3 linked regions of the Pelodiscus sinensis genome follow. The protein of the gene in region 1 purifies or fractionates together with the protein of each later gene. This does not show direct contact. Links are inferred from orthologs where the notes say so. Each region holds a gene or a part of one and is shown in the gene's direction. Other genes may lie near its edges. The genes, in order: MAP2K2, KSR2 and KSR1.

What was found.
Region 2: the proteins of MAP2K2 (region 1) and KSR2 purify together in Homo sapiens (affinity purification with mass spectrometry; 3 studies listed by BioGRID and IntAct, with this or other methods). This does not show direct contact. The link is inferred for Pelodiscus sinensis from reciprocal best matches to the Homo sapiens genes MAP2K2 and KSR2.
Region 3: the proteins of MAP2K2 (region 1) and KSR1 purify together in Homo sapiens (affinity purification with mass spectrometry; 4 studies listed by BioGRID and IntAct, with this or other methods). This does not show direct contact. The link is inferred for Pelodiscus sinensis from reciprocal best matches to the Homo sapiens genes MAP2K2 and KSR1.

The regions. Positions count from the first base shown.
Region 1 is NC_134729.1:22,173,815-22,184,213, reverse strand, and holds the start of MAP2K2 (dual specificity mitogen-activated protein kinase kinase 2), read left to right. Parts: upstream 1-5,216; 5' UTR 5,217-5,401; coding exon 5,402-5,487; intron 5,488-8,563; coding exon 8,564-8,774; intron 8,775-10,332; coding exon 10,333-10,399. UniProt on the Homo sapiens protein: Catalyzes the concomitant phosphorylation of a threonine and a tyrosine residue in a Thr-Glu-Tyr sequence located in MAP kinases. Activates the ERK1 and ERK2 MAP kinases.
Region 2 is NC_134725.1:11,017,058-11,027,133, forward strand, and holds the start of KSR2 (kinase suppressor of Ras 2), read left to right. Parts: upstream 1-4,967; 5' UTR 4,968-4,995; coding exon 4,996-5,175; intron 5,176-10,076. UniProt on the Homo sapiens protein: Location-regulated scaffold connecting MEK to RAF. Has very low protein kinase activity and can phosphorylate MAP2K1 at several Ser and Thr residues with very low efficiency (in vitro).
Region 3 is NC_134731.1:10,837,350-10,848,178, forward strand, and holds the start of KSR1 (kinase suppressor of Ras 1), read left to right. Parts: upstream 1-6,625; 5' UTR 6,626-8,752; exon of another isoform or gene 8,753-9,608; 5' UTR 9,609-9,669; intron 9,670-10,216; 5' UTR 10,217-10,244; coding exon 10,245-10,300; intron 10,301-10,829.

The DNA.
Region 1 (10,399 bases):
CTCTGAGCATGGAAGCCAAGTGGGGAATCTACAAGCATCCCCCCTAGCTGAGCCCGGCCGTCGTCACCCGTCTCCGGCAATGGGAGGCCCAGGCTGGGTTTCCCACTGGCCGAGGGAGGGATCCCGAAGCCCAGATGAGTAAGAAACCTTGTGACTGGGGCATGGCCCCGGAGCCAGCGCTGGGGAGGGGCAAGGCGCTGAGTGAGACGCAAGGTCGGCCTCTAGCACTGTTATCTCATTGCACAACATCTCCTGATTAGCCAGCTGGGGCTGTTCCAGGAGGAGTGGAGGGACCTCGAGTTTGTGGATGTCCCAGGGAGGTGCGGAGCCGTGCGCAGGATTGGGCCTTGAGGGTGCAGGGCGCCTGAATCCCAATGGCCACGCTCCGGTAAACACAATGGGGCTTGCCTGCTAGGCCCCTACTTGACAGGAGAGTGAGATGAGCGGATCCCCTCACCCCCAAGCCCCACTGATCCCAGGGACGCTCCAGACTGCCTCTGTCCAGAAGCAGGGCCCAGTCAAACACGGCAGGGAGGGCGGAAGGCTAACCAGGGTCTAGCAGAAGTCAGGGCTCCCAAGAGGGAATACGGAGTCTCAGGCTGCTCTGTTGAGCAACACTCCCGGGGGCACACGAAGCTCCCCGCTGCCACAGCGAGATAGGGCTCTACTGCTGCTTAGTGGGCAGGTTCTCCCCCACCCACCCCGCACACTGCAGGGGCCTGGGAACAGGGGGTCTGCAGCTGGTGGTAGAAGAGCGCTTGGGCAAAAGCACGGACCCCAAACAGCCTCCAAAGCAGACGGTTGCCCCCGCGCCGCTCTTCAAGGGGAATCGGAGGCCAAAGCCCACACAGTGCCTGAACCGACGCTGGGGAGGCAAAAAGAGGAAGTGGTGATTTTTTTTTTAACCCTCCTCCCCCTGCCACCCCACCCTGGTGCTGTTAGCTCCGGGTGATGCAATAGACTGGAGCAAGCTCCTTCATTGAGCAATGTTCTCAGGTGTGTGATTTTGTGGCGGGGTCACTGGAGCCAGGGGGCTGTGCTGGCAGGTTGCAGCTTCACATTCTGCAGGAGGCAGCCTGGGGGGATGGCTGAGAACGACCCGTAGAGCCTTGGGACCTGGAACCTAAGGGCAGCAGGGAGCGGCTAAACCCAGGCTGCCGGGGGCATCCCCATCCAGCCAAGTTTGCTGGAGCAGCCAGTGAAGAGACAGCCTGCCCCTGCCATCCTGGGTGTGATGGGGAGCCCAGCACGTGCTGGACAGAGCTCGGGGCATTCCGAATGGCTGGGTGGCCAACCCACAACTCCCTGCCTCCTTAAAGTTCATGCCGTAAGTCACTGGAAGGGGAAAGGTCTTTTTGATTCAAGAGCCCGTGCCATTGCTTGCAAGATATGAATGGTTCAATGTGGGGATGTAATACGGTAATCGTTTAAACGGTTAGCCAGTAAGCCTGGGCTTATCGGTGACTAATGGTTACACTCTTGCTCCTGACCCGGGCCTGCAGGCAGGAGCTGAGAAGCCGGCCTCTTGTAACCGTATAATGGCTAAGTTTTTCAGCAGTTACTCAGTTACCCAATTAACAGCTTTTTAACATCCTAAGTTAAATGCAGCCCCTTAGCCACAGGCAATTCTATTCTGTCTCCCTACTGCCCTCATAAAGCATCAAGTGGCTACGGCTTTCTCCTTCACTTCCTTTCCTGACCTCTTTTGTAGCATTGCTGTGTGCTGTTCTACAGTGTCTGCGTCCCACCCCAGAGGTGGCTGCCTTTCAGCAGTTTGCACAACTCCCTGAGTTCCTGAGCACAGTTGAGGCCATCTGACAGCTGAAGAGTCCAGCAGACGCAGGCCAATGCAGCCCCAATTCACCAAGTTCCTGATTATCCAAAGGTTTGTGTCATTCCCCCAACAAACTGTCAAACTTCTATTGTTGTTCATGTTTACTTTTGCAGGTCCCCTGCCCCAGCTATAAGAGTATCCAAGGTGCTTTGTAGTAAAGAGACCTAAAGGTAAAGGGGGAAAGAAGCAGGATAAGGCAGAGCAAGCATGGGGAAGAAGCAAAGCAGGGGCAGAGACGGCGGGGCCTAGGGCGGAGGGGAGGTTGTCCTGATTCTTCCCCAAACTGGGGGTCACATGGCAGGAACCCCCCACCCGGATTCCCCTCACCACTTACCTCGAATTCATCTCCTGTCATCCAGTCCCACCGTCTGGCAGGCAGAGATTTAGGAGCACCCAGGACATGGGGTTGTGACCTTGACCATCTTGGCTCACTCCATTGCTGGACCAATTTTCCAGGAATTTATCTAGTTCTTTTCTGAACTCAGTTGTGCTTTTGGCCTTCACAAGCCCCTGGCAGCAAGTGTCCCAGGTTGGCTGTGTATGGTGTGAAGAAGCATTCCTTTTCATTAGTTTTACGCCTCCTGCCTTGTCCCATCATGGGGTGACCCCTGGTCCTTGTGTTATGCAAAGTGGTAAATAACTCTCCCCTATTCATTTTCTCCAAACCATTCCCGATCTTCTAGATCAGTGTTTCCCAATTGGTGCTCTGGGAACCCTGGGGATCCGCGAAGAGAAAGCAAGGGTTCTGCAAACAGCCGGCACTCCCCCGCCCCCTGTTAAAGAGACAGAGCCATGGCAAAGGCTTTTTTTTTTTTCTTCTTCTCAACAAAATGTGGCAGGGGCCTTTTTTTTTTTTTTTTTTTAAGGCAACTCTAGGGGTTCCGTGGCCAAATAAAATTGTGAAACACTGTTCTAGATAGACCAGTGTTTCTCAACCAGTGATATGAGTCCCCTTAGGGGTACTTGAAAGTAGTCTGGGGGGGCATGTCAACACAACTGAAATTTGGAGAAAACTGAATTTAGCTCTTTCCTGAGTGGCAACAGCTAATCGGGCCTCCATCCTTTTGTACGCACACTTGGGATTCAGTCTTCCAGAGTGTGTTACTGCTCATTTATCAACCTTGAATTCCCTCCACCATCATGTTGGAGTCGGGAGCTCACAGAGGGGCTGTGATAGTAACTGGGTGAAGAAAAGTGGGAAAATGGCTTGTGTGGGGCGTCTTTTTTGGGGGGGTCACGCCCTGTCTGTCAAAGTTGACGCTGGTAATTCAGCCTCCTGGCACTTGTACCAACCTAGTTATCAGGGTTTGCTGGGATAAGGAATGCAGTTGATTTTAATTGCTCACATGTAATTAGGCAACTGAACATTGCCCTTTGATCAACGAAGCAATGCCATCTCATCAGCTCCACAACCAAATCAGATTGGAGGGAGGGGGGTTCCGATTGATTAGTCCAGGCCTGGGTGGCAATTGAAGGGGGGTTGAATTGGGAAAAGAGGAGGAAGAACTACTTGGTGCCACAAGCATGTGATTTAAGGCATTAGCTGATCACTAGCCCATTTTGGTCAATTTCACAGGCGCAGGATTTTAAAAATTGTTTGTTTCATGATTTCAGCTATTTAAATCTGAAATTCCATGGTCTTGCTTCTGAGCTGCTAAGTCACCACTCTCCAGCTGCCCAACTCTGAAGGCAGCAATGCAGAAGTGAAGTGGCATAGTGTGGTGTTGCCACACTTACTTCCGGAAAATCCATGACTCCCCAGAAATAACCTTGTGACGCCCCTCCAACTGCCTTTTGGGTCAGGCCCCCGCCCCTGTTGAGAAACGCTGGCCTTCCTCATGAAATCTGTATCCTACAGAATAAAAGCACACTAAAGGTCAGATTTTCTGGGAAGAGACCAGATGTTATGATCCATAACACATTTTTCATGGCTGTGAATTTGGTATGGCCCTAGTCATGAGGGAATCGATTTGTGGTTATGATTCATATACAATGAGTGATATTTTATCACATATTTACCTAGATTTCTAATTCAGCCAACACCCTGGTATGTGCACCCTACTGGGATAAAAATCAGGCACAGTAGAGTTACTGGTCTTCTGCAGCATCCAGAATCAGTGGCAGAATATGATCTAGAAGGAGCATCAGCCCTTAGTCCCCTGAACTAACTGCAGTATTGTCTCTTTGATTTCACTCTCTCACACTGGTAACAATTTATACACTAATCCAGTTAGTTCTCCTAAAGGCTGAGGAGGAAAAAAGAGAGAATGTTCTTGTTCTGTTTGAAAGCCGGTTGGAAGTGCGCCCATGCTCTAGGCAGGGAGCCATGTGAGGGCCTAGGCAGACAGAAAGGTGGATCTCCCTGCATCCTTCCACCTTCTCCGAAACATGTATGGTTTATTATCGATGAGAGCTCCTGAGAATCTACATGATGAAAACTACAGTTACAGAACACCCTTATTCCCAGCTAATAACTCTGCAAAACCCCAGGCTTCCCACTCCCACCATCCTTCTGTCCACCCGTCCTACCCTCCCCAACCCCATCCCTCCACCCCCTCCCATCCCATCCCTCCTTCCTCTCATCCCTCCCCCCACCCCCTCATCCCTCCTCACCCCACACCTCCACCCCCTCCCATTCCTCCTTCCTCTCATCCCTCCACCCCCATCCCTCCTCCCACACCTCCACCCCCTTCATCCCTCCTTCCTCTCATCCCCCCACCCCCTCATCCCCCCCACACCTCCACCCCCCTCATCCCTCCTTCCTCTCATCCCCCACCCCCTCATCCCTCCCCCCACACCTCCACCCCCCTCATCCCTCCTTCCTCTCATCCCCCCACCCCCTCATCCCCCCCCCACACCTCCACCCCCCTCATCCCTCCTTCCTCTCATCCCCCACCCCCTCATCCCTCCCCCCACACCTCCACCCCCCTCATCCCTCCTTCCTCTCATCCCCCCACCCCCTCATCCCCCCCCACACCTCCACCCCCCTCATCCCTCCTTCCTCTCATCCCCCACCCCCTCATCCCTCCCCCCACACCTCCACCCCCCTCATCCCTCCTTCCCCTCATCCCCCCACCCCCTCATCCCTCCCCCCCACACCTCCACCCCCTCCCATCCCTCCTTCCTCTCATCCCTCCCCCCTCATCCCTCCTCCCCACACCTCCACCCCCTCCCATTCCTCCTTCCTCTCATCCCTCCTCCCCCTCCCACTAGCTCCCCCTTCTTTCCCTCCCAAGCGCCTCTCCCTGCGCGTCCCCGCTGAGCGCGCGCCCGGCGACCGCAGCCCTGCCCGGGGGCCGCGCCTGGCGGCCGGGCGCGCGCTCTCGCGAGACTCCGCGGCGGGAGCGCCCGCCCCTCCCCGCCCTGCTCGCGCCCGCCCAGCCCCGCCCGCCTGCGCTGCAGCCCGGCCCCGCGCGCTGACTCCCTCCGGCCTGCGCTGCCCCTGCCCGGCCAGGCCGCAAAGCCCCGGGCTCGCGTAGTGCGGCTCGCCGAGCCCCGCGGGGGAGCGCGGCCCGGGCCGGGCCATGCGGCGGCGCCCCCGCTAGGCCCGCCCCGCCCCGCCCGGCCATGCCGGCCAAGAGGAAGCCGGTGCTGCCGGCCCTGACCATCACCCCGACCATCGCCGAGGGCCCGAGCCCGGACGGCTCCTCCGAGTGAGTGCGGGGGGGGCCGGGGGGGGATGAAAGAGCCCTGGGGGGGGGCGGGGGGAGCCAGCCCGGGCCGGGGGGGGCGAAGGGAGAGAGGGGGGTGCCTAGCGGGGCGGGGGGAGCCAGCCCGGGCCGGGGGGGCGAAGGGAGAGAGGGGGGTGCCTAGCGGGGCGGGGGGGGATGAAAGAGCCCGGGCCGGGGGGGGCGAAGGGAGAGAGGGGGGTGCCTAGCGGGGCGGGGGGGGGATGAAAGAGCCCGGGGGGGGGAAGGGCCGGGGGGAGTGGGGGGTACTAAGCGGGGCCGGGGGGGGGTGAAAGAACCCTGGGGGGGCGAAGGGAGAGGAAGGGGGGTGCCAAGCGGGGCTGGGGGGGTGAAAGCCCAGGGTGGGGGGGCGGGGGGGAGGGAGAAGGAGGAAGGGAGAGGCGGGGGAGGGGGTGCCTAGCGGGGTGGGGGGGGGGAATGAAAGAGCCCTGGGGAGGGCGCCAGGCCCCGGGGAGGCAGGGGCTGCCAAGCTGGGCCAGGAAGCCCAAGGTGGACGGGCAGAGGCGGGTGAGGACTCGGGACCGGGAATGGGGCTTGGTCCAGGTGGTGCCCCCCGGGAGCGAAGGGCGGAGGTGGGGCAGGACCTGCCGGACTAAAGGAGCAGCAGCTCACTTGGCAGTGGGGGGATGAGAGAGGGGTTGCCCCCAGGGGACAAGGGAGGTGGCCCGGGTTAGGCCCGGAGGCCTCCAGGCCCATGCTACCTTGAGACAAAGGCACCCGGGGGTGTATGTGAGAGATTATGCTGGGGTCTGTGGGGTGCTGTGGGGCGAGGGGTTGTAGATGGGGTGGGTGGACTGGAGACAGAAAGGGGGCTCGGAGATGCTGAGTTTTGGGGGGTGGGTTAGGGCAGTCCCTGTAAAGCAGTTGTCACCAACAAGTAGATCGGGATCTACCATTAGATCTTGGAGCCTCTGACAGGTGATTCTGACTGGTTTGGCCAGGAAGCTATAAAGCACTTCAGTTGCTCCTCTGCCCACTGTGTGTGGGAGGGAGAAGAGGGGGGCATTGATGTTCGGGTGTCTTCCCTCTCCCCCCACTTCTGTACCCCACCTCCACACAGAGAGAAGGGAATGGAGGGATCTTGGCAGTGCAAATCTGTCACACACTGTGTGTGTCTCTCATTCTCACAAACACACGCTGTCCTTCACTCTCATCTGCTGACCCAACACACACATGGGGGGGGGGGGGTTGTTACTTCTTTTACTGCTTGCAAAGTGGGTTATTTTTTGTTTTTGACTGGTCTGTGCATTTCATAATTTTCATTTCTCTCACACTTAAATTTAATTCTTTGAGTAGTGAGTTTTAAAATGCCTCACCTGTCCTGTCTGAAGTAATATTATCCCCGTAGTAATTGCTGCTCCTGGAAGTGGCTGGCATGTCCCTGCAGCCCATGAGAAAGGCAGAGCTGGGGGTTGCCCTATGCTGTCCTTGCCTGCAGACACCACTCCTGCAGCTCCCATTGATCAATAATGGGGAACTGTGACCAGTAGAAGCCGTGGGCTTAGTGCCTGTAGATGAGGGGCAGCATATGGTACCATGGGTCCATTGCTGTGTATGCCAGCTGCTTTCAGGAGTGGTGCAGGCCCAGGGCAGGCATAAGCCGCCTTAACCCCACTGCTCCACCACCTGGAAGCGTTCTCAGGTAAACGGTGCCCAGCCAGAGCCTGCTTCCTGAACCCCTGTCCCAGCCCTGAACCGCCTCCTATAGCCAGCCTCCTGCTCCAGACGTGAGTCCCCTTGCACCAAACTCCTTCCCAGAGCTTGCACCCTGAAACTCTTTCTGGACCCCAATCCCCCACTCAGCTAAGCCTGGAGCCCCTCCCAAACTCCAAGCCCAAGACCAGAGCCTGCACCCCAGCCCCCTGTTCCAGCCTGGTGAAAGTGAGTGAGGATGGAGGAAGAAGGGCAATGGAGTGAGCAGGGTGAGGCCTTGGAGGAAAGGTGGGAAAGAAACAGGGCAAGGGTATTTGGGTTTGAGGTAGATCTTACATTGCACTTGCATTGAAAAAGTGATCTTGTGGTTAAAAAGATTGGAGACCACTGCAGTGAAGAGTCACCTCTCCCAAGCGCTTGGAGCACTACCCAGTTCTTCACCATAAGCAGTCCCCTGTGAATGTAAAGTTAGGAAACAAACCTGGGGGAGTAGCAGGGGGGGGGGAGCATCTGCCAGGAAGAGGAGGCGGGCTCTGTGTAGGAGGGTTGGCAGGTTGATAATAAAAAGCACCCTCTGAAAAAAAGGGTGTTCATTAAAATTGTGGATCCAAGGGCTGGGGTGGCTTTTGAAGGGGAAATAGGCCCAGCAGCGTGGAGCTATCACACTGATGGTCCAGTTTTCTGCTGTCCAAAGATACCCCAATCAGGGCTCCAAAAGATAGGTGGCGTCGGAGCATAAATACCCCATTGTGCTTGGATAATAGATAGGCATCATGTTTGGGCAGGGTGGTGAGGGGTGTAGTGTTTTAAGCTGTAGGATTTGCATAGCTACATGGAAAGCCTGTCTCATATTACTTAGTGGACTGCCCAGCTGTATCCCTGGATTCAGAAAGGGGAGCGGCTGCTGGCACAGCCAATGCTCCTCTCCCTGCTGTAAGGTTTTAATGATTCCCTTTGGTTTCATAGTTTTGCTTGAGTGACTGAATGTAAAAAATGTATCTCTGTGAGGGAATCTGTGCTTCTGGGAAGATGCTGCATCATTTATCTCCAATACAGCACTTGTGTCCCTGTCAGTAGGGCTTTCCCCTTCTCTTCTTTCTTCCCGCTGGCAGTGCTGAAGGGGTTCAGTATGAATGATATGTGGGACTTCTTGTATTCTACTGGGCCTCATGGGGCACCTCCTTGCTCTGCACTTGTTCCCTGGGCGGTAACCTCTCTCTTATCCCTCCATTGCCAATTGAACTCCTGTTCCTTTATGCCCAGCAGGTTCTGCCCACACCCCCACAGTTTTGCCATCTCCTCTGGAGGAAGGGACACGTATCTCTGCCAAAGACAAAATTCGAACAGGCTCTCATAGTTTGTCTTTCTCCTCCCTGTTTTTCTTCAGGGCTAACCTGGTAGATCTTCAGAAGAAGCTGGAGGAATTGGAACTGGATGAGCAGCAAAAGAAGAGGTTAGAGGCTTTCCTCACCCAGAAAGCCAAGGTTGGGGAGCTGAAAGATGACGACTTTGAGAGGATCTCCGAGCTGGGAGCTGGTAATGGTGGGGTAGTCACCAAAGTGCAGCACAAACCCTCAGGACTCATTATGGCACGAAAGGTAAAAGACAGGAGGCAGACGTATTTTTTTTCTTATGCTTGTGTTGGCCTACACAGGAGAGAGGTTGTAATAGAAAGTCACCCTGTTACCCTATAAGAAAAGCAGTATTTTGCTTAGCCTATCCCTTCTGCTTCCTTAAATGAATTCCATACTGGTAAAGGGTGCCTTATTAGGAGCTCTGGAGACCAAGTCTCCTCAAGATCCTTAGAACAAGTATCTCAGGCAGCCACGCTAGTCTTTGCTCTGTGCTTCAACTCTGATCTGGAACATCCTCCCCTTGCAGGGAGAAGAGAGTTTAGTCTCCTTAGCCTTTCTGATGAAACTACCAACAACTGTGACTCTTGTGATATGGACACCTGTTCACTAGCAAATGGATTGAAATTCCTCAAATTCATTATGCATGAGCACGCGTCCTCAGTTGATACTGACTTTCTACCACTTGTGATCGAATCTGGATTTGAAAGATGGGTTTCTTCCATTATTAATCCTCTGAGCAATTCAAAGTTGCATTTTATGTCAAATCCTAAATACTGTTTAGAGCACACTCATGCTTTATTTTTTCAAATCCTAAATACTGTTTAGAGCACACTCATGCTTTATTTTTCCATTAGCTCAGCTCTTAATCAACTCGACTAAATTGATTGAGGTTTGTGGGAAAGTTGTACGCTTTTCAGGTGCAAGTTGTAGGTAACAGAGAGAAAATGTGTGGCAGAATCTGCAGAAAGACACTTTGCTAGTAGAGGAAAGGTCATTTAATCATTTTCAGCAACAGAGCCCCAGAGATCCTTCTGCCATAAGAGAAACCCTCCAGCATTGTACCTGGAACAGTGCTGCGAGGAGCCTTTTGCGTTTGTCTTGAAACTTACTGTCCCAAACACACAAGTTGTTCACCTAATGATGCCCGATAATGGAAATCAGTAATTGACCCGTCTGTCAAGAAAAGGCAGACTTCTTCAGAGAGAACAAGTCAGATTTCTGACTGTTCAAATCCAGTTATGTGACTTAACTTGAAACTCTTATTGGGATGAACTTTTAAAAGCAACAGGTAAAATTCTATGGGTCTGATGAGCAAATCTATAGAGCGGTAATACCCATATAGTCTTCCACAGTAGCATTGTTAAACTGGTCCTACATGGAGTCCTCTGTTTCTTAATTTTCAAGCAACTCCCTCTTAGTGTCCCTGTTTTGTTCTTTCCTGGTCTCCTTGGTATTGAGACACCCTGCGTAGTGCCTGCAGAGCTGGCTTTTTCACGTGATAAACATTTACTGTGCTGGGAGCCATCTGTGTGCCCAGCTTGCTACGTTGGTGTTCTGACTTACCCTGTATTATCAGTACGGGGGTGACTAGTATGCTCAGTTACATTCTGTGCAGCCTGCAGAATGCAAGAATAGTTGTCCAGCAAGCCTCACCACTTAGGCTGGTAATGGTAGGGAGAACAGCTCTCACCAGCACAGGGACAAGTGGAGCTCTCTCAACCCCTTTTGCTTCTCGCTTCCAAACTGGAGCTCTATGTTCTTGTAGCTGTTCCTTGAGTCTGGCTTGATTTTTTTTTTTCAGCTGATTCACTTAGAAATTAAGCCCGCCATTCGTAATCAGATTATCCGAGAGCTGCAGGTGCTGCATG
Region 2 (10,076 bases), on another chromosome or scaffold:
AAATAAATGGCTATTCTGAAATGTCCCTTAATTCTCGTGGAATAGAGCACCTGTTATTTAGAAAGATATTTTGAAATAATGGGAACGCTTTCAAGACATGGAACAGCAATTTCGGGATTCTGGGAGTATCCCGAAATAGCACTGCAGGGTAGACATACCCATAGATTGATTTATATTGTCTACTTGATACCCAGATCTATAGCCAAAATTTAGCTGCTCTGGCCAGAGTTTAAAGTTGGTCTAATCTAGCATTCCTGAGTCAGGCAAATCTTCCATAGACAGAGGTAGTTTTTCCTGCATGAGTTGTGATGAATGGAACTCAGCAATTGCATTTAATCATAGATAGCTGTGATTGGGCTGGGATAAGCCAAGGCTTGGGTTCTGACATGGGTCTGATATGTGAACTTGGGCAAGTCACTTAGACTCTCCAGCTAGGTCTACACTACAATGTTAAATTGGAAAAAGATACACAATTTGTGTACCGCAAATTGTGTATCTTCATCCAAATTTATTTTCGAAAGAGGCTCTTTTGAAATTTGGCGTGTCTACACGGCACCAAATTTTGAAAGAAAGTGCTCTTTCAACACATCCCTTATTCCTCGTAAAACAATGTTTACAGGGATGGCGAAAGAGCACACCCGCTTTTTCTAAATTGTTTTGAAAAAGTGGAAGTGTTCCTTGGATGTGGCGTTGCTTTTTGGGATATCTCTGGTATCTTGAAAAAGCAATGCAGTCTAGACATAGCCTCTATGTCTCAGTTACCTCTTTGTAAAATGGGGATAATGAAACTGATGTTCCTTTGCATGGGTGAAAAGGAAGCTTGGCATGAGATGTCAATTACTACCTATAAATTAAATTTGTTTAATAACATGAGAATCAATGTGCATCAATATTCAAACCTTTTTAGCATTTGTCAGGGCTGTTTCCCACTCTGCTTCTCTGAGTGTAGAATGTGGGGACCCACAAAGAGTTCAAAAAGAAAAGAAAAAAACCCTTTGCCTCTACATCTAGGCTCTGCTTATAAAAACTCGCCAGAGTCACGGATTCCCTGACTCTGAGAAATAAACAAACAAGATTCCACCATCAAGTGATTTTATCCCTAAAACCAGCGGTGAGCACTTGAACCCACCTCCCAGGGGACCCCAAGCTCTTTTGCCCTAAAAGAGCTTGAAAAAAGAAAAGAGATAAACAAGCTGCAGTCTCTGGTAGCTGACCTCTCAGTCTGAGGCAGACAGACAGACTTCCTGTTCCTTCCAGGACACAAGAATCAAATCATCACCTTAAAAAAAGTGATTTTTATTACAAAACAAAAGTTTAACTTGATAAAGCATACTTGGTTGTTAGATGTTACAGAGCAACTAAGGAAAACTAATTAAAACACAGAAGAAAACCTCTGGGAACAATGCTAGATGGTAATTGGGGAGGGGAAGCATAGATTCACACAGAGCAGTTCAAACCAAACTGCAAAATAAAGAAAAATACCCTGATCAAGACTAGATCCACTTTTTCCCTTTACTTACTTCCAATCTTTCCTTGGGTCAGCCCACTTCCATGCTTGGAATTCCTTGACATGTTAGTCCTGCCTGGGTTTAAATCATTCTGGCTATGTCTAGACTGCAGGCTTTTTTCGGAAGAACCTCTTTTTGGAAGAGATCTTCCAAGAAAACTTCTTCCGAAAGAGAGCGTCCATACACTAAAGCACATTGAAAAAGTGATCTTCTTTTTCAAAAAATAGCGTCCACACTGGATGGACGTTGTCTCGCATTTAAGCTGTGATTACTATGGACGGAGTGGCTACCAGGACACCTGTGCTTTTTCCTCTTTCCTCTTCTTTCAGAAAAACTCCCTCTTTCCCATCCACACACACCTTTTTCCGAAAGAGCTCTTTTGGAAAAAGGCTTCTTCCTCATAGAAAGAGGATTACCAATGTTGGAAAAACCACTCTGTTCTTTCCATTTTCTTTCGGAAGAGCGCGATTGCAGTGTGGACATAACTCAGGTTTTATCGAAGAAACAGCCATTTTTTCCGACAAAACTCTGTAGTGTAGACATACCCTCTGTGTCTCTCAACTCCTGGTTTTTGTCTACCACACAAAGAAAGCTGGCAAGGAATCTTATACAATTCAAATTTCAACCCCGTATGCCCATTGGTTCGCTGGCTCCCTGCCAACCTCTTTGCTAGCTACCTGAGTTTAACCCCTTAGTCACCAGGTGCTGGTCAGCACTCCTCCTGTCCATTACAGCATTAGAGCCAAATTTTCCTGAAGTTACATGTACAAAGATGCTGGCATTTAAAATACTATTGTGGCAACCAAGAATAGCATTTCTAATACAGTAACTCACATGAAATCCAAGCAGACAGGGAGTAACTGAGTGTATGTGTGTGTGTGTGTGTGTGTGTGTGTGTGTGTGTGTGTGTGTGTGTGTGTGTGTGTGTGAGGGGGAGACAATTTGCAGCAAGCATGAATATGATGCTTAGAGGTTCTTTTTTTTTTTTTGCGCTATTTGGAAATAATCACTTGATTATGGGCCAAATCCTGATCTCCACAGACAATAATGGGAGCAAAAGCTGGCCCTACAGTGTTCCCCATTCTCTTGTACTCCTGCTATACGGCTTTATCCTGTTTACCTTCATCTCACTGATTTCCCCAATCACTTTGATTTGCCCATGCAAATTAGTAAACCAAACAAGATTTTAGAATGTAATTGAACAATATTAATTCCCCCTTGAATAAAGGTGATAAGGGAGTTAAGAATAAAGGAGCTTTTGAAACTGTTGCTATTGTCTGTCCAGCTATGCAGCCAGCTTACTGTAAGCCTGGTTAGTAAGGGAACAGGTGATGATTACTGCACATCCATCTTTCTGTTGACAATGCTTCTATTTCTGCTATGTTGAAAGGGACACTCTCCATCAAAAATGTACAGCCCAAATTCTGAAATCCCTGCACATTCCACTTACTGAAGCTAGTGGGTCTTTGGTTTGCTAATAAACACAGGACTTGATCCTTCAAATGTATCTTTTAATTCCTAGGCATATTACTGACACTAGACAATAATAATACTCTTTCTATCCCCCTGTTTATTTTTACATTTTTAGAAAATGTGTTTCTAAAATATCTAAATTATGCACCTAAAATTAGGTGGTATTGTCTCTTCAATTGTTCTGTAAACAACTCCCAAACAGGGAGTATTGGGGAGAAAAACACATGGGAAAACTACAGTAATAGTTGGAATACATGGGATGCTTCTTAGGTACCATTACACTTTAATTGTTATTACTGAGTGAAGACAAGATCCCTGCAAGTTTATAAGCTAAACTAGATGTAATACTAGAGCTTGCAAAGGTAAGACTGCTGCTTCTGGGACCATTACCATGGAGTACTCTAGTATTTTTTTTAAATAAAGGGAGCCTATTCACAAGACCTATACAACACCGCAGCCAGGCTCATAAGAGACCCCTCAGCATATGTGCACTGAATATGTGGCAACCAAGAATAGCATTTCTAATACAGTAACTCGCATGAAATCCAAGCAGACAGGGAGTAACTGTTTGTGTGTGTGTGTGTGGGGGGGGGGAGACAATTTGCAGCAAGCATGAATATGATGCTTAGAGGGTCGGGTTGTTTTTTTTTTTTTTGCCATTTGGAAATAATCACTTAATTATGGGCCAAATCCTGATCTCCATAGACAAAAATGGGAGCCAAAGGTGGCCCTACAGTATTCCCCATTCTCTTGTACTCCTGCTATAGCTATTTGATAGCATCATCATCAGCCAGTAACCCACCATGGAAGTAAGTCAGTGGACCTTGTCAAGGATATGTGACAAAGTCTGAAGATGACCACATGTAAATTGCAAGTCTTAAGAAAACCCCATTTGGAAAGACAGGGCAATTGCGCAGTCAGTCAGTGGATCAGTACTCCCCATCTGTACCTGGCCCAGGTCAGGGAAGCTAATGATCCCATTAGCAGACCAAATTCAGGCAGGAATCTTGGTCAAGTGCCACCTGACTATGACCCCAAAATATTGACATCTTTTGCTTTTCAAGATGTTGGACTGGCACTTAAAATTCTTCAGCTTAATGATGAGGGTTGCCTCTTCAGCACCATCCCCAATACCTACCCTGGGTGCCACTACTGTGCCTGTCAAGTACTATCCTCCACATCTACCTTGGGGTGCCTTGCTGCACTTCTCCCCCACAACCACCCTGGGGTGCCCCTGCTACATCCCTGCCCCAGACCCATTGCAAACACCTCCCCCCCCCACACACACGCTCTTGCTCCGGGAATCTCCGCGCGCCCCTCGCCTAGCGAACCCGGCTCGCGCGCACTACGGGCTCGCGCCTCTCCCGGGGACCGGCGCGCGCCGCCCTGATTGACAGGCAAGATGTCGGTGTGGGAGCCAGGCAGAAGGGGATGCAGCAGCCTGCACGGGCGCCAGGCAGCAGCAGCATCAGAGCAGGAGGCAATGCAGGCAGCATCTTGGAGGAGCCGTTAATGCACACCGCCCCCCTACCTCCACCGCCTCCCGCACGAGGTGGACAATGCAAGCCCCTCAAGGCAAGGGGCAAACCTCGGTGAGCAGAAAGAAACGCCCCCCCCAAATCCTGCATGGAGCTGGTGTGTAAACAGAGCGGCTCCTGAGTGCACACACACAGCATCAGCCCTACTACCTGGGGTGCTCCGGCTCCCAGCATCTCACTGGCGCGCTCTCCCCCCACCCCTCCGGAGGAGGCACTCACAGGGGAGAGGACACTCGAATGGAGGCTGCTTGACACAATCAGATCCACGCTCGCTATTTATTTTTGTTGGGGGGGGATCGGGGGAGGCTTGTTGTCTCCGGTGGAAAGATGCTGGCTCCTTTCACGTTGCATTGTTGAGGACTGGAGGGGTGGGGGTGGGAAGGAGCAGGGGGTGGGGGTGGTTGGGGGGGGAGTGGGATACCACCATCCCTTTGATCTGGGAGGAGGAGAAGGAGGAGGGGGCTGCAAAGCGAGCTATGGATGAGGAAAACATGACGAAAAGCGAAGAGCAGCAGCATCTGAGTTTGCAGAAAGCCTTGCAGCAGTGCGAGCTGGTCCAGAACATGATTGATATCAGCATCTCCAACCTGGAGGGGCTCCGGACCAAATGTGCCACTTCCAACGACCTGACGCAAAAAGAGATCAGAACCTTAGAGGTAGGTTTTACCTTTGCAAACATGCAGAGGGAGCATTTCAAACGCTCTCTCCCCTCCCCCACTCCCTCGAATATAGTTGTGTGTTGGGGGGGGGGGGGGAGAGAAAATATGCATGATTTTGTATGTTTCTGCAATCTGGCAAACCCGGTCTACTTTTTCAGTTGCCTTTATTTTGCTGTGAGCCTTTGCAAGGGAGGTAGGTCCCCCCTCCCCGACAGTGTATTTGTTTATATACAATGGGGGCTTGTGTGCAGTGTAATAAATTAAGGAGCTGCAGTGAGCTCAAATGAGCCTGCGCGTGCTGCAGGTGGCCAAAAGGTGGTTCTTGCACATAAAATGTGGCTGCCTATAAATAGCTCTTTCCCCTATACTCCTCTGATTTTTTTTTAATGTCAGGAGGCAGGCATTCAGTTTTGCATTGCAAACCACAGATCTCTGGGTGGACAATTTCCCTTCATGTGCAATGAACAATTTGCATGCTTAAATATAAATCAATCTTGCCCCATTGAATGGAGGTACTGGGGATCCCCTCTTGGGAGCCCGCAAGTGATGCAGCTGTGAATCTTTCTAATCTTGCATTAATCAAACAGATCTTTTGGCTTCATGCATACAAGGAGATCTACAGCTTCTTTTCAACAGCCCTGTGTATATTACAGGAGACCTAGAGAGAGGGCTTGGGTAGCAGTTTGTAAAGGCCAGGTTTGCAAAGGAGTGATCATGAGGAGTTAAAAATAACTTGCATGTACGCACTGGAGATTCATTTTAAATACCAGGAGGGCTAGGGGGAAAAGACGGAACCTCACGGCGTTAATTGGACTGGGTAATGTGCACTGGGTGGTGCTTGCCAGTAGTAATGGCAGCTCTGATGGAAGCAGAGGAAAAGGGGCTAAGAGGAGGCAGGTTGAGTTCCCAGGGGCTGGGATGGTAATAAGGTGGGACAACATGCAGTTGTCATGTATGCCACCAGGGTGCTTGTCCTCACTCTCCACTTGTAAAGGTGGAGGTGAGGAGATTTTAAAAGGACTCTGAGGCCTGAAGCCTTCCACATCTGGCAATGTGCTGGTGACAGACCCTGCTGCATTTTATTCTAGCATCATTGCTGTAGAGAAGGTTGTGTCACCATATATCTTAGACTTGAAACCCCAATACAGCTAAACTGGGGCCTGTAATGCGGGAGGGGTAGGGTGGAGAGAGGGGACAGTGCTTCTGCCAGCTCCACCTCAGTGAAAGAACTGTGTTTGAAAAAGATACATTAGCCTGGGGCTCCCCTTTCCGTGTGGGTTTCTAGCTTGCTGTTTTAACTCCTTCCTCCTTCCACTCATGTCCCCCCCCCCCCAGTTGAAATTTAGCACAAGAAGTCTCAGCTTAATGATGTTTTTAAAAAGAAAAAGGTGGAAGAAATATAAATAAAAAATCACAGAGCAGTTTCCATAGAAGTTAGAAATGGACAAGGACTAGCCACTTAGCCAATCATCTGCAGGTAAATAGATTCTCTTTCAAAGATAATTAGATGTTTGCCAGTTTCAGGATTTGAATGTGTGGATGTGCCTTTAAACAGAAGGGAGACTTTATTTAAACAGATGTCAGAGAATCCCCAAAGTCTGCTGGGGCAGGGGTTCTCAATCTGGGGTGCCTACCTGGGAGAAGAAGAATCCCAATGTGCAAAAGGTAAAGAACCCCTGAGGACTTTATCATCAATCTGTTTTATGTGGAAGATGCAAATCAGCTGAAAATTGGCTGTGGAGCATGGAACTAAGCAAATGACTGTGTCATAACATGGGGTAAATGCTGCTGGAGAAAGGAGGCGAAAAGGAGTTGTTTAACTTGGTCACGTGGCTGTTGCTCATTGGGGATTTACTGCCTCTCATCGCTTTTTTTTATACTATGTGTACTAGAAACTTACTGCATTTTTTATCTAACAGGTTTTCTAACCTGGAAGCCTAAAGTTAGACACCTCAACACCTAAATAGCCACTTTAATTACTGTGTCTCTTTGGGCAGTTCGGACAGCCAGGATAGAGTTTGTTTAGGTAGCTGGAGGGCACAGAATCTATGCTGCAGAGGTGAAAAGCGCTGTGTGCCATTAACAAGCTCCTAAAGCCATCCAGCTCCCTTGTCCAAGTCCATAAAGTGGCTCCAAGTTCATGGCAATGGGCAGTTCCACACGTCTGGGAGGGACGTGATGATTTTTCACTTCACTAAAAGAGGAAATAGTAGAAAATGGTCTCTCTCTCTACCAGAAGGCAGTGGTGAACCCTTGTTCTCTTACAGAGGGACACCCAGCATGCTTTATGTGAGCCCCCAGTGCAAACACTGAAGTCCAAATTCTATTGTGGAAGTGCAAGCTACACCTGCCTGAGCCCAGGCTCTGAAATGGAGATTTGCCCGGAGGGATGGTATCCCCACTGTCTCTTGGAGTGTCTTCAGAGGCATCTTTAGTTTCATTTTGGAGCTTCCTAGGAGCCTTGTTAGTGGAGGCTGGAATAGGGTTGTGTTGAATCAGTGCATTCCTGGCCAGTAGTGCCTATTCTTGGGGAGGCTCCGTCTCTCTGGGCACCCCATCGAAAGGGAGGTTGTAATCACAGTTCCCAATAAGGTGTGCACCTGCGCAGCCATGCACAAAAAAATTATTCTCCTGCCTACCTCCTCTGGAGAGCCGCGCAGCAGAACCTGGGCAGCAAGCGGCTGCTCCGGTGGGCAGGGCTGGCTGAGACAGTCTGGTGAGGAAGCAGGGGGCTAGGACCATGCTGTGGCCATGTGTTGAGTAGTCAACTTCGGAAGCCCCAGGGGCTACAATGATACAGCACATTCCAAGGGCCACAACTTAAGCGTGGTTGCATATATATGCAAATAGCTTCTTTTACACGGACGGGTATGAATACAAAGATTAAGGCAAGACTAAACAACACACAGGCCCCATTTAAGTCTGTTCTGCTGATTTTAATAAAATGAAATATTTACGCAATTTCCATCCATATGACAGCACTTTTAATGAGCAATGACAGTCCAGGAATTTAACTCAACAGAAGACCATTCTATTGACTACTTGTTTGTTTTATCTTCACAACTGTCCAGAAATTTAACTACTAAAACATGTCAGCTCAAACCGCACTGTGAGCCACAAACAAACGGGCTGTGGTGCATGTGGCTTGCGGGTCCCGTATTGAGTAACCCTGCCCTAGGGAATCCAACTATGGTATTTTTACCAAGTTATTGCCCAGAGCTGGTCTATACTTTGCTATTTAAATAGCAAATTAAGATGAAGAACATTTATGGTCAGGGCCTCTCTAGTCTGGTACCTGCAGGACCTGACCAGTTCCGAATCAGAGAATTTGCTGGACTATGGGAGGTCAATATTGTCTAGCAGCATTACTAACACTTCCACTGCTTACTGGGTTGTTCAGTGACATTTAAGGGTAAATTAGAGCTAAATAACAGCACAGAACACTGAAAGCAAGGACAGGTGGTTGTAAACAAACTTCATGAGACTATGGAAAACTTGGCCACATCCATGAAAAGTGGACATCCTGCTAATTAAAATCATTCTAGACGATGGATGGTTCTGGACCGGATGGTTCTGGACTAGAGAGGTTCAACCTGTACCGTATATTCCGGCGTACAAGACGACCTCTGATGTTAAAAAACATCCCCCAAAAATCGGGGGTCGTCTTGTACGCCGGATGCCCCGCCGCCGGAGCCCCTCCGCGGCTTTGAAAGCCTCGGGGGAAGCCGGCGGCGGGGCATCCCAGGCGCGCATGGGCTGCCCCCCTGCCGGAGCCCCTCCGCGGCTTCGAAAGCCTCGGGAGAAGCCGGCGGGGGGGCTCCGGCAGGGGGGCAGCCCATGCGCGCCTGGGATGCCCCCCCGCCGGCTTCCCCCGAGGCTTTCAAAGCCGCGGAGGGGCTCCGGCGGGGGGGCAGCCCATGCGCGCCTAGGATGCCCCCCCGCCGGCTTCCCCCGAGGCTTTCAAAGCTGCGGAGGGGCTCCGGCGGGGGGGCAGCCCATGCGCGCCTGGGATGCCCCCCCGCCGGCTTCCCCCGAGGCTTTCAAAGCCGCGGAGGGGCTCCGGCGGGGGGGCAGCCCATGCGCGCCTGGGATGCCCCCCCGCCGGCTTCTCCCGAGGCTTTCAAAGCCGCGGAGGGGCTCCGGCGGGGGGGCAGCCCATGCGCGCCTGGGATGCCCCCCCGCCGGCTTCCCCCGAGGCTTTCAAAGCCGCGGAGGGGCTCCGGCGGTGGGGGGGGGGGAGCCCAGGTGCTCCTGGCGGCTTTGCTCCCGGTGCCTCTGGTCTGCTGGGGACCATCTCCAGCAGACCAGGGACACCGGGAGCAAAGGAGGCGGAGGGGCGCTGGGGTATAAGATGAAACCCTATCTTTTAATTAAAAAGATAGGGGGTCGTCTTATACACCCAGTCGCCCTATACGCCGGAAAATACGGTAGTTGCTGATGAAACATGGTAATCATATGGTCCGGTTTTTGCGAGAGGAGATTCTGGTGAAAGCTGGCATAGGCTGGGATGAGTGGAAGCTGTTAGCATGCATGTCAGATAATTCAGTCATAACTGGCACCTGCAGTTGGCTTTTAGGGGAGAAGCCAAGGGCATTACCTATCCTATCCCCTGCTATTTAGGGTTGATTTCTCAAAATTGGCTCCGCAGCATGTTGGTGTGGAGGAGTGCACACTTCTCTGCCCAGGCCATACCTGTGGCTTGTGTTATACAGGAGATTGGTCTAGAGGGTCATAATGATTCCTTTTGACTTTTAAAATTTGTGGCTCTTTGCTGTGGGAGCTAGCCGACAGCTCTATCTGGCATGTGACTCACAGAAACATGTCAGTCAAAGCTTTCCCACAGAAGGCTTCTGAAGCTATATTGGGCTCATTTAGAGTTTACAAAGCCCAATCTAGCA
Region 3 (10,829 bases), on another chromosome or scaffold:
TCTCACCTGCTTAAGGAAGGTGACTGAATCAGGTAGAGATTTCCTTGCTGTTTGATGGGATTAGTGGCAATGTTCCCTCATTTTGTCCCCATTCATGTGCGGAATAAACTTTGTTTTGTGCACAGAGACCTGTGTGAATGTGCATCATTGGAATCTGTCCTGGGTGGCCTCCCTTATGCTCAGGTGACAGGGAACCCTGATTAGTGGCTAATTAGACATTCGCACCACCCTCCGCCCCCCCCCTCCCCATTTTGTTTAATCTAAAAATCTTCTGGAGAATCTCTTGAGCTTATTCTGCTGGCAACATTTAAGGACCAAGTTTTTTGCTCTTGGATGCATGTGAGGTTCATATGATTAAAATGATCAGGAGCCACATACCCCTGGGAGGACAGGAAATGGCTCTCTGGGTGCATTCAGTTCTGGAAATGACTATAGAGCCACTTCTATCTCCGTAGACCTGCTCAGAAATCCGTTTAATGCCTGTGCTAACAGACTGTGCCTTCAGCTTAAAACTAGCACCCGCACACTGCTTTGGCACGTAGAACCTGGAGCATGTGAAGGTATCCTGATATTAGGGGCTTTGCCCACAGGGACTGGCTCCCACAGGCACTGGCTCCCAACCCTCGCCCTCTTCCTCCCTCTGATACAGAGACAGCAATGGGGGGAATTGTGTGTAGTTGTTTTGATTAACCGATAAGACCAGGCTTATTGGTTCGTCGTTTAAATGGCTATACACGAACATCCCTAGCAACTATTTAAAAAAATAGTGTCCCAGGGATTTTTTCATACTTGCAATCTCATGGCCCAAGCTGATCGCTATCTCGCTCATTAAGAACATATTCATTAGCAGGGTTGCAATTGCAGATCTGTATTGATGATGATGCCAGAGCCAGAAAGAACCTAGCATGACTTTCAGAGGGTAGGGAGGGGGGGAGTGTGTGGAAACATGAAGTAAACACCTTTCTGCAAACAGATTGGATCCTTTGTCAAGTCATAGCTAGTGGACTGTTTTTTCAAAGCCCTTTCTTAGAAAAGTGCTGTTCTTCAATGCACTGGCACTTTGTAGCTTTATGGAAAGCTGGGAGTGTTACTTGCAGCCAACTGTCATAATCAGCATCAGATCTTTCTTTGTAACAGTTACTGCTGTTGCTGGAAGGTGTCATTTCCTGTTGGTAATCTGACAGTTCATACCTCTGGCAAATCTAAGGACCTGCAAATGGAAAAGTTAGAGCAGAACTTGACTTCACGTTTCCTTTTCTTTTCTTTGCTTTTCTTTTTTTCCCCTTCTAATCTTTCCATTTTAGGTTGTCAAGTATTTTCCATCCATACTGTGACAAAAGAGCCATTACCTCTAGCTCAGGCAGTGCAGTTTCCTTTAAGCAGTGGCTCCTGACCAAAGTTCTAATTACTATGTTATCATTTGGCACGAGAGGTTGTTACTGGAGCAGAGGACGAGGAGCCAGGACTCTTGGGTTTGGTTCCCAGTTCTGCCACTGCTTGGCTGGTGTGATGTAAGGCAAGATGCTTGGCCTTGATCCATCAAGTCATTTAAACACATGCTGAACTTTAAGTTCGGGAGTTGTCCTATTGACACCTTGCGTGCTTAAAGTCGAGCCTGTGCGTAAACGTTTGGATGGACGTGGACCTTCTCCACCAAATGAGCCTGTGGCAAGTGAATAATACTTAGCACCTTACCAAATTCACAGCCACGTAGAGCCGTAGAACACGTCATGGACCATGACATCTGGCCTTGTGTGCTTTGTACCCTGTGCTATACAGATTTCACAGGGGAGACCAGCATTTCTCAAAATGGAGATCCTGACCCAAAGGGGAGTTGCTGGGGTGGGGGCATGGAATTGTACCCTTATTTCTTTGCTGCTTTCAGAGTTGGACAACTGGAGAGTGGTAGTAAGAATGTTGTCCGGGTGCCCAGCTCTGAAGGCAGCACCCTACCAGCAGCAGTGCAGAAATCAGGGTGGCCATACCATACCCGTGTCACCCTTCCGCACTGCTGCTTTCAGAGCTGGGTGGCCAGAGAATGGTGGCAGTTGACTAGCAGCACAGAAGGAAGGGTGGCAACACTACACCAGGTTGTCCTTATTTCTGCGCTGCTGCTGGTGGTAGCTCTGCCTTCAGAACTGGATTCCTGGCCAGTAGCCGCTGATCTCCAGCTGCCCAGCTCTGAAGGCAGTGCTACTGACGACAGCTGCGCAGAAGTGAGGGAAGCAGTGCCGCAACCCCTATAAAGTAATCTTGTGACCACCTCCTATGACTCCTTTTTGGGTCAGGGCCCTACAATGACCACACCCTGAAGTTTCAGATTTAAAAGCTGAAATCCTGAGATTTACCACTTAAAAAAATCCTATGACCGTGAAATTGACCAAAATGGATTGTGAATTTAATAGGGCTAGCCATGTGAAAGGTTAGCCGGTAAGCCAGGGTGATGCTTACTGGTTCTGGTTAACCGTGAACAGGCTGGAGCTGCTCCCCACCTGCCATGGGCAGAGGGCTGCTCCAGCCCTGCAGGGGGGCCGTCCGTTCAGAGCAACCCCTATCCACAGTAGGCTTGGGCATATTGCAGGCAGTGGCTGCTCCGGCTGGGCTGGATTTCCCCCCCCCCCCCCCCATCTTTAATAAGTTAACCAGTTAAACAATACACTTAACCAATTCAGTGGAATGGTTACATCCCTCCTAGGGCTCTAATAATACTCACCTGCCTCCTAAGGGGATGATGGAATTTAGTGGAGATCTTCAGCGGAGAGGCATTAGAGAAGGAAGTATTGTCCCTTCTGAGAGCTCACGTTACGAAAGACTCGACAGGTTCAGTCCCCTCCAGCCTACCCAGCAGATACTGGTGCTGATGAAATGAACGTTACTAGAATGTGTCAAAATGCTGGAATGTGAGGAGGAGCACTGCCCTTCTAACAGAGGCAGTTATGCCTTGATACTCTGGAGTGCCTGGTTTGTGATACGCTACAGACAGTGGCTAAGCACTACTGACGCATGGGGACAAGTGACAGGCAGAGACAACTTTTTTAAACATAATTTTTCTGGTTGGACACGACTCCCCCTTTCCCCCTCCCCAAGCCGTGGATGTGGGTTGGGGGGCTGTAATCTTTGATACAATCATCATTCAGACACATTTCTGCCTCTCTGATGTTAGGCCAGCTTTACAATGGCATCGAGTCATGTATAAATGTAGATAAATGCCTAGTGGGATTTACAGAAGTGACTAAGGGTGCATCTAGACTGCAGGGCTTAGCTCAATTTGCGCGGCTTATTTCGAGTTATCTCAATTGCATAGCTTATACCGAAACTGGGAGTGTCTCCACAGCACTTATTTCAAAATAAAACACTCTTCCTCCGACTTCCCTTGCTCCTCGTAAAATGAGGGTTACCGGAGTTGGAGTAAAGTCCTCCAGCTTGACAGTATGTCAACATTATTTCAAAGGAAGTGCCTGCTGTGTAGAGGCGGACTAAGTTATTTCGAGATAACGCTACTTCGAAATAACGTCGCTGTGCACACGTACCCTATGTGAATTAGGTGCCTAACCGCCAAAGACTTTCAATGTGAGTTAGACACCTAACTGACTTAACTCCTTTCAACAGTTTATGGCAGGTAGGTGCCTGTCTCAGTGGCACACTTCTTTAAATCCCACCAGGCAACTCTCTGCATCTCAGGTACCTAAAGAACTTGTAAATCTAGCCCCCAGCTGGTCATGCACCTTCTAGGAGGCAGGAGATTTATTTAGGTTTCGTAGCTCCTGGCTACCATTAGGAAAAGGGAACAGTTTTTGTTGCCGTCATTGGCAAGGAGTTTGAGCTGGCTGTTTAGAAGACTCTGAGGTATTGAACTAGTGGTCTGCCCAAGGAGAACCTCCTATTGTCCATAAGTCTCGTTGTGCTGATTTTCTGTCCATTGCTAACACTGAGACTGTTGCCGAACAGGTGGGGAGTTAAAAGAAGACCTGTTGTGGAATAATTCCGACGTGCGCCGAGAGAGAACCTCTGCTCACCCTGCAGAACCCCCCTGCCCACCAGGGCCTGTGTGGACTTCTAGTCTCCTGCATCTGTCGAAGGGCAACAGCCAGCAGGCCCGCTCTGTGTCGGTGTCCGCTATCGCTTCTTCGGAGTCTCTCGCCTCGAGCCATGGACCTTCTAACTATGCAGATAACTTCTTGGAACCGTTAGCGTACCCGAGCCACAGTGGCCACGTGGTATTTAGGACTCCTCACAGCATCACCATCACGCCGCCAACGACACCTCAGTTAAAAACGCGGCACAAATTGAAACCCCCACGGACTCCCCCTCCGCCTAGCCGGAAGGTTTTTCAGCTGCTACCAAACTTTCCAACCCTCACAAGAAGCAAGTCCCACGAATCACAGCTGGGCAACAGAATAGATGAAGTCCCTCCTCTAAAGTAAGCCTGGGATTTTCCAACTTCTTCTTAGTGGAGTGGGAATTGGGGGTGGGGAGGGTTCTTTTACACTCTGGGCTCTTTTTTGGGAGAGGTGTGGGGGGAGGGAGGGCTGCATGCATCGTTCCAGTTCCCATTTCTCAGATTACAAAATAACCAGGAAGTTTTGGAGACCACCTAGACCTGTTGTAAAGTAGAACGTAGCCGTCTGTTTTGATGAAGGCTCGCTGCTGAAACGTATGCTTGGTAGAAACACTCTGCCACTGTTACATGAGGCTAACAGTCTAGTAGGCCCAGTCCATGACACCTTTGTACCACTGTCACTATGGGCAGTGGGTGAAGGCCCAGGTGGGGAAGGCAAGCCCCAGCCCTTCCCTTTTTACCCATGCCACACCCCTTCTCCTGAGACTATGCCCCTTCGCCCCCCAGTCAAGCCTTGCTCAACGCCAGCTGTGGATGGGGGCTGCCGTGCCACGTGGCCCCAGCCCCTCCCAGCCAGCTGGGCAGCGTAGGAAATTCTGGGAAGGCAATGCCTTCCCTTGCTTACATTACCTGCCACCCATGGCCGTCCCATCCACGCTCTCAAATCAAACTGGGTTGGATCACTATGGACTCAGATTTGACAGAGGGTGGTGACTGGTTGTGGTGCTACTCTTCCCTTGGAATCCATGTTGGTGAACTCCCTTTCCCAACATTCATGGGCGTTTGCACTTATGACATTTTTCAGATCACACCTACTCTAGATTTAGATTTAGATAGCTTGCTGTTACTAGGGATACCAGTGGTCTTTTTTTGTGCAAGAGCCCCCTGCCCGATTCCATGTATAGCAACTTGATACACAGTGTAGTTGGCTATTGTGTCTTTCGCTCCTTGTTCTAAGCTGGGTTAAGTATTGCTGAGGCTTTTAAACAGCTGCATCTCTGTGACGGAAGAAATGAGATCTGGATGTAGTTCTGTGTATCCATTTAGGGCTTGCGAGATGCTTTGTAGGTATTTTGGGATGAAAGATGTTCTGTTAATGCAGCATTTGCTTATTTTTGGAAATGAGCATGAGCCAAGCACCCTGGTAAGTCAGAGTAGTCCTGGCTTTTGGGGAAGCTCAGATCAGGAGCCAAAGTTTGCAACTAGCATTAAACCAATGCCACTTAGCTGGCCCTTCTGCCCCTTTGAAGGAGTTGTCCAGCTAGGACCTGGCTTTACTGAAGGCTTGTACAAAGGAGTTGTTTGTTTATGAGCTGCTTTAGTGGTGAGTAAGGCAGTTGCACACCCTTTTATATGAAAGGGAGGGAAGGAAAGTTACCATAGTTAGTTATGGTTACCGATGACTATGGAAGAGTTAAGAACAAAACCACATGTGACAAATACAAATTCTGCTTCGCTTTCAAACCGAAGTGCGAATGAAGCGTGTGCTGGATTAGAGAGGTTCATCCTCTCTACAAACTGATTTCCGCAATGAGGGAGAGGTATTCCCTTGAGTCGAAAAGAGGTGTAGCTGGCTACAGATCTTTTGCTTTAAATCTAGTGGTGAAATCCTGGTCTTACTGAAGTCCGTGATAAAACTGCTGACTTCCGGAGGGCCCAAAGTCTGTTTGGGTGGCCAGGGTAGCACTTCATTGTTGTTGAGATTTTAATGGATCAAAATGGCCCTGCTCATCCTCCACATGAATTTGTATAGCTCCATGTGCTCTCTTTGTTTGGCGTGGAATGTATAAATGATAGAATTTACACCTCAGCAGCAGGGAGGGGGAGGGCTTTCAACAGAGCCTAAGGGATTTAGACTCCCACATGATTTGAATACCTAACTCCCTGAAATTCCTTTGACAATCCCGGTCATTGACTATCCTCCACTTTCACATAGTGTGTGCGTGCGCACGGGGATCTCTGTCCAGTGAATTATATCATTCATGTACACAATAAGGTGTACAAAATATTGCATATGCAAGTGCAAAGATGCCTTTGGGGGGAAAAACAGAGGCCATGTTTTGAAAATAGAGCCTTAAAGGTTGTAATGAGGGCTCTGCACTTAAGAGAGAAGTTTAGCTCATCTGTCACATGATCATTTGTGTTGAAAATTGTTTTGTTTTTTTTTTCTTTTTGTCTTCTAGGCTTGGTAAGAAACAGATTTTTTGGGGGGCAGTCTTCGCATCGTTGCCTGCGGGGAAAAGAATGTCTTATCATTGTGGCACCAGTATGGTCCTGTTTTTATGCTAACTTTTTGGAAGTCCTCCATGTCGAGCAGTTGTTAACGTTGGCAGACATTTCCTAGCATGAGCGCTGCAAGATCAGTCCTCATTTGTTAACACGAATAGAGCAACAAAAAGAAACCTTGATACTGTAGGGATTGGACCTGCATTGAAGGTGGTTTTGTTTAAAATTTCTCCCGTCTTTCCACACTCTTGGTATCAACATATGTTGGTATTTAAAAGCTCTAAGTACACAACCGACCATTCAGCATCAGTACATACCATTACCAGATCCTTCTATGTAGCACAAAGTTTCTTAAATTTCACATAGCCTTGGCTTTAGGGATCATGCAATGCCTGTATCTGCAACATGGGGCTTTGTGAGTAAAATGTAATGGTTGCTTAAGGCTTAGCTGTGCAAGGTGCAGAGTATGCCTGCTCTAACCCAGCAAAACACGGGCTCATGCTTAGCTTTATGCACACAGTCAGTCCCACTGGAGTCAACAGGGCTAGTCAGATGCTTAAAATGAAACATAGGCTGATGTTTTTCAGCATTGGGAGCAGTGAACTCAGCAGCTGTCACAATCAAACTCCTAGCACTTGAACTGTGGTATGCTATGGTGTGACAGCAGTGGTCGGACAATACACGTCTGCCATGCACCACTGCCTTCATCATAAAGCTAAAACAGAAAACCCCTTGTCCTTTAAAATGTGTTAGCTTTACTGTAAAAAATAAAACTAAGACTTTCATGTGCACTATATGGGTGGGTAGGTATTTATAAAGCATAACTGCTTTAAAAGAGAACCCTAGAAGTTACTTTCCCAAAAATAAATGGTTGCTAGTTCATAGCGGCTTCAGCTCGTGCCCAGATTGCTTTTCTTGGCGCAGCCTGGCCCTAGGTCTTCAGATGCTACAGGCAGGTGACATTGGTCAGTGGCCCCTTCCTAAGGGACATAGCTGCAAAAGGTAGGTGTTTGCAGAACCGGGGAGGACAGAGGGAGGGAATTTTCATTCACCGTCCCGTAGGTGTTTCCCAGGAAATCCACTTCACATGCGTTGTCCCAAAAGTCCATTCATATCCGCTGCACTGTTCGGTATAGATCTTTCATCGACCAGGCCACAATTATTTAATCTGATGATGCCAAAGATACCGACGCTGAATTTAAGGAGGCGTTTCAGGGATCTGGCAGGAACTAATTGCCATATCAATCACACAAGCTGCTTTTTCTAAAATCATGGCTATCCATCAAGCACGGTCTGTAAAATTGGACAACATAGGTACTGTAGGGTCCATCTAAGCAGCCCGCAGCAGCAAGCCTCCCAGCCCAGATCAGTAGACCACAGCTAGTGGGGCTAATGCTCTACAACTAGCTGTGCACACAGGGCTCTGGCACTGTGGCTAGGGCTGCAGTTTGGGCTGTTTTTTAAGCACTAGTGCATGTTCCGCAGCCCCAGTCTCTGGACCCAGGCTGGGAGACTTGCTGCCAGCTGGGTAGAGAGAGGGTGGAACATTTCTGTGATGTATCAATAAAGGATCTGCTGCCATCTAGGGACAGAATGGGAAATGGGTGTTCAGAAGTATTGGCACGATGCATCGGGAGCTGTGCATTCGGTGTGAGGCCCATCTGTGGGGTACTGAAATATCAGCATCCTGGAAAAGCTGGCAGAATAGAAATAAAACTCTAGTGGAAGCAGCATTGCCTACTAGGTAGAGCACTGGACTGGGACTTGTGAAACAAAGCCTGGTTTCCCTGGCTCTGCCACTGGCCAGCTGAATGACCTTGGGCAAGGCACTTCGCCTCTCTGTGGTCAGTGCCCTAACTGCAAGATGGGGATAATGATTCTGATCTCCTCTGTAAAGTCCTTAGTGATGGACTGGTGCAAAGCCTACCTAAGAGCTGGGCGGTAATAGTCATAACCAAGCATTATTTGGTGGTCCCCTTCCAGATCAAGGCTGCCCTCCTAAGCAGGCATTTGAAGCTGGTTTAAAATTGGGACTCCCCTGCCCCGCCCCCGAAACCCTGTTTTTGTTCCTTTTGTTTTCTTAATAACATTTTCTTGCTACTATAGGGCTAGACTTGTGTAACCTTTATTGCTGCTGGAGACATAATAAGACTACTTGTGTGAGTGAGTCGGTGCTCCTCAGAGCAAGTAAGCATTGCCCAGACCTACCCCATAGTACTCAACGGGACAGGATGTATTTCAGCCTTGTGTTTGATTTGCCTTAAAATGCTAGCAAGCTGATGGGAAATGCGAACCATCCACCAAGCCGTGCAAATATTTATTAGCATGTCTGATGGGGCCTCCTTTAAGGGGTGCTGCATTTGTAAGATGGGTGGACTTTCCCCATCTCTAGTCGTGATCTTGTAATAATAATTTGTTTTCCCCTACTAATAAGTTCTATAAATCTGCACACTCCTACTAAATGTAGAGCAGGAAACCATTTACAGCTTATATTGGTTCCACACACGATGAAAAGAGCAGCTTCTGGGCAATGTTCCTGCTCATCTTTTTCAATCCACGCACGGATGTGTTTTTTTTTATCCGTGTGCAGAATAAATGTATGTGCACTGAAGCGTGTGTGAATGTGCACTACCAACAGAAACAAAACCTCACTTTGGGTGCTCTGCTGATCAGCTAGGTGGCATTGGAATCTCCTGAGTGGCCTCATGGTTACCCAGCTGACAGGGAACATTGATCCTGGGGCATGTGAGCTATTGCCATGATTTGAAACACTAAGGCCTAAGGGCAAGCGACTTAGTTTCTCAGTTCCCATTGAACTCAATAGCTGCTGGGGGCCTGACGAGGGGGGGGAGGAGGTGCATTACTGATCTCTTGTGCAAACACAGGTGTAGTTGGGCTCTCTTGGTGGCATTTGCTGCTCATTGTTCCCTTAGAAATGAGATTTTCATGTGCAAATTTCCCTTTAGATTTCTGAAATGCTCACAAGTTAAGGGCGGTTTGGTTTTTTTTGTGGCTAACATGTAATTTGTTCTCCCCACATCAGATCTCCCCCAGGCATCCCCTCAGGCAGGACGAAGAGACATCGGCTTATCAGTAACACACAGGTAAACACCACCACCCAAGGCAGCAGGAGTCACGAAGGAAATGAAATGGCTGTTGCTTTAATGGGCGCCATCACCTTTTAGAACAGTTTATAGCTGGGGCTAATCTGAAGCTAGGTCTACACTGAGTGTTTTATGTGGAAGAGGAAATGCAAATGGAGCACTCGTTTGCATATCTTGAGCTCTCATTTGCATATCTTCTTCCGGTCCTTTTTGCGGAAGAGGTTTTTGTGATAACAAGCCCTGTATAGACGGGGTCATTTTGGGGGGGGGGGGGAATCCTTTTGCACAAGAGTGCCTTATTCCTCAAAAAATGAGGTTTACAGGCACTTGCTCAAAAGAGGTTTTTTTCTGACAAATGGCCCCCTCTACATGGGGCTTTTTGACGCAAAAACCTCTTCTGCAAAAAGGACCGGAAGAAGATATTCAAATGAGAGCACAAGATATGCAAACAAGTGCTGTAAACTGTCTGTCGTTAACCAGCAGTGTTTCGGTGACTGATTTTCTGTTGAACTAGCCCCAATATGACACTTTCCCTTCTTCTGTTCAGATTCTCTACAAAATCTTGGTTATCTCAGATGTGCCACGTGTGTCAAAAAAGCATGATGTTCGGTGTGAAGTGTAAGTACTGCAGGTGAGCACAGACCGCTGGTCCTTACTGAAGGATGCTTCGTTATCGATGTATTATTTGTTCTCTGAGATGTATTGGCTTTGTTTATTAGTTTGTTAGAACTTTGGGCCCTGATTCTGCCCTGGGGTCCTTTAATGTAGAGAATCGTGGAGGGAGGGAAACCATGATCCACTGATTAGGGTGGTATCTTGAGACATGGGATACCCTCGTTCCATTCCTTGCTCTGCCACAGGCTCCCTAAGTTACCTCGGTCAAGTCACTTATCTGTGCTTCATTTTTCTCAACTGGAAAGGGAGGTGAATAGCACCGCCTTACTCTCACAAAACTCATGTGAGATAAATGCATAGAAAACAATGTCGTGTTCAGATATTACAGTAAAGGGGCTATAGAAGTGCCTCGTAAAGGAGGGCTACATCTGGGTGCAGGCCTCGGCCTGCTGTCCCATCACAGTGCAGCACTGGGTCCCTACCAGTTTTTGAGGCACTTCCTTTGAAATCAGCACACAATCTACCAGCAGCCTAGACTCTGGATT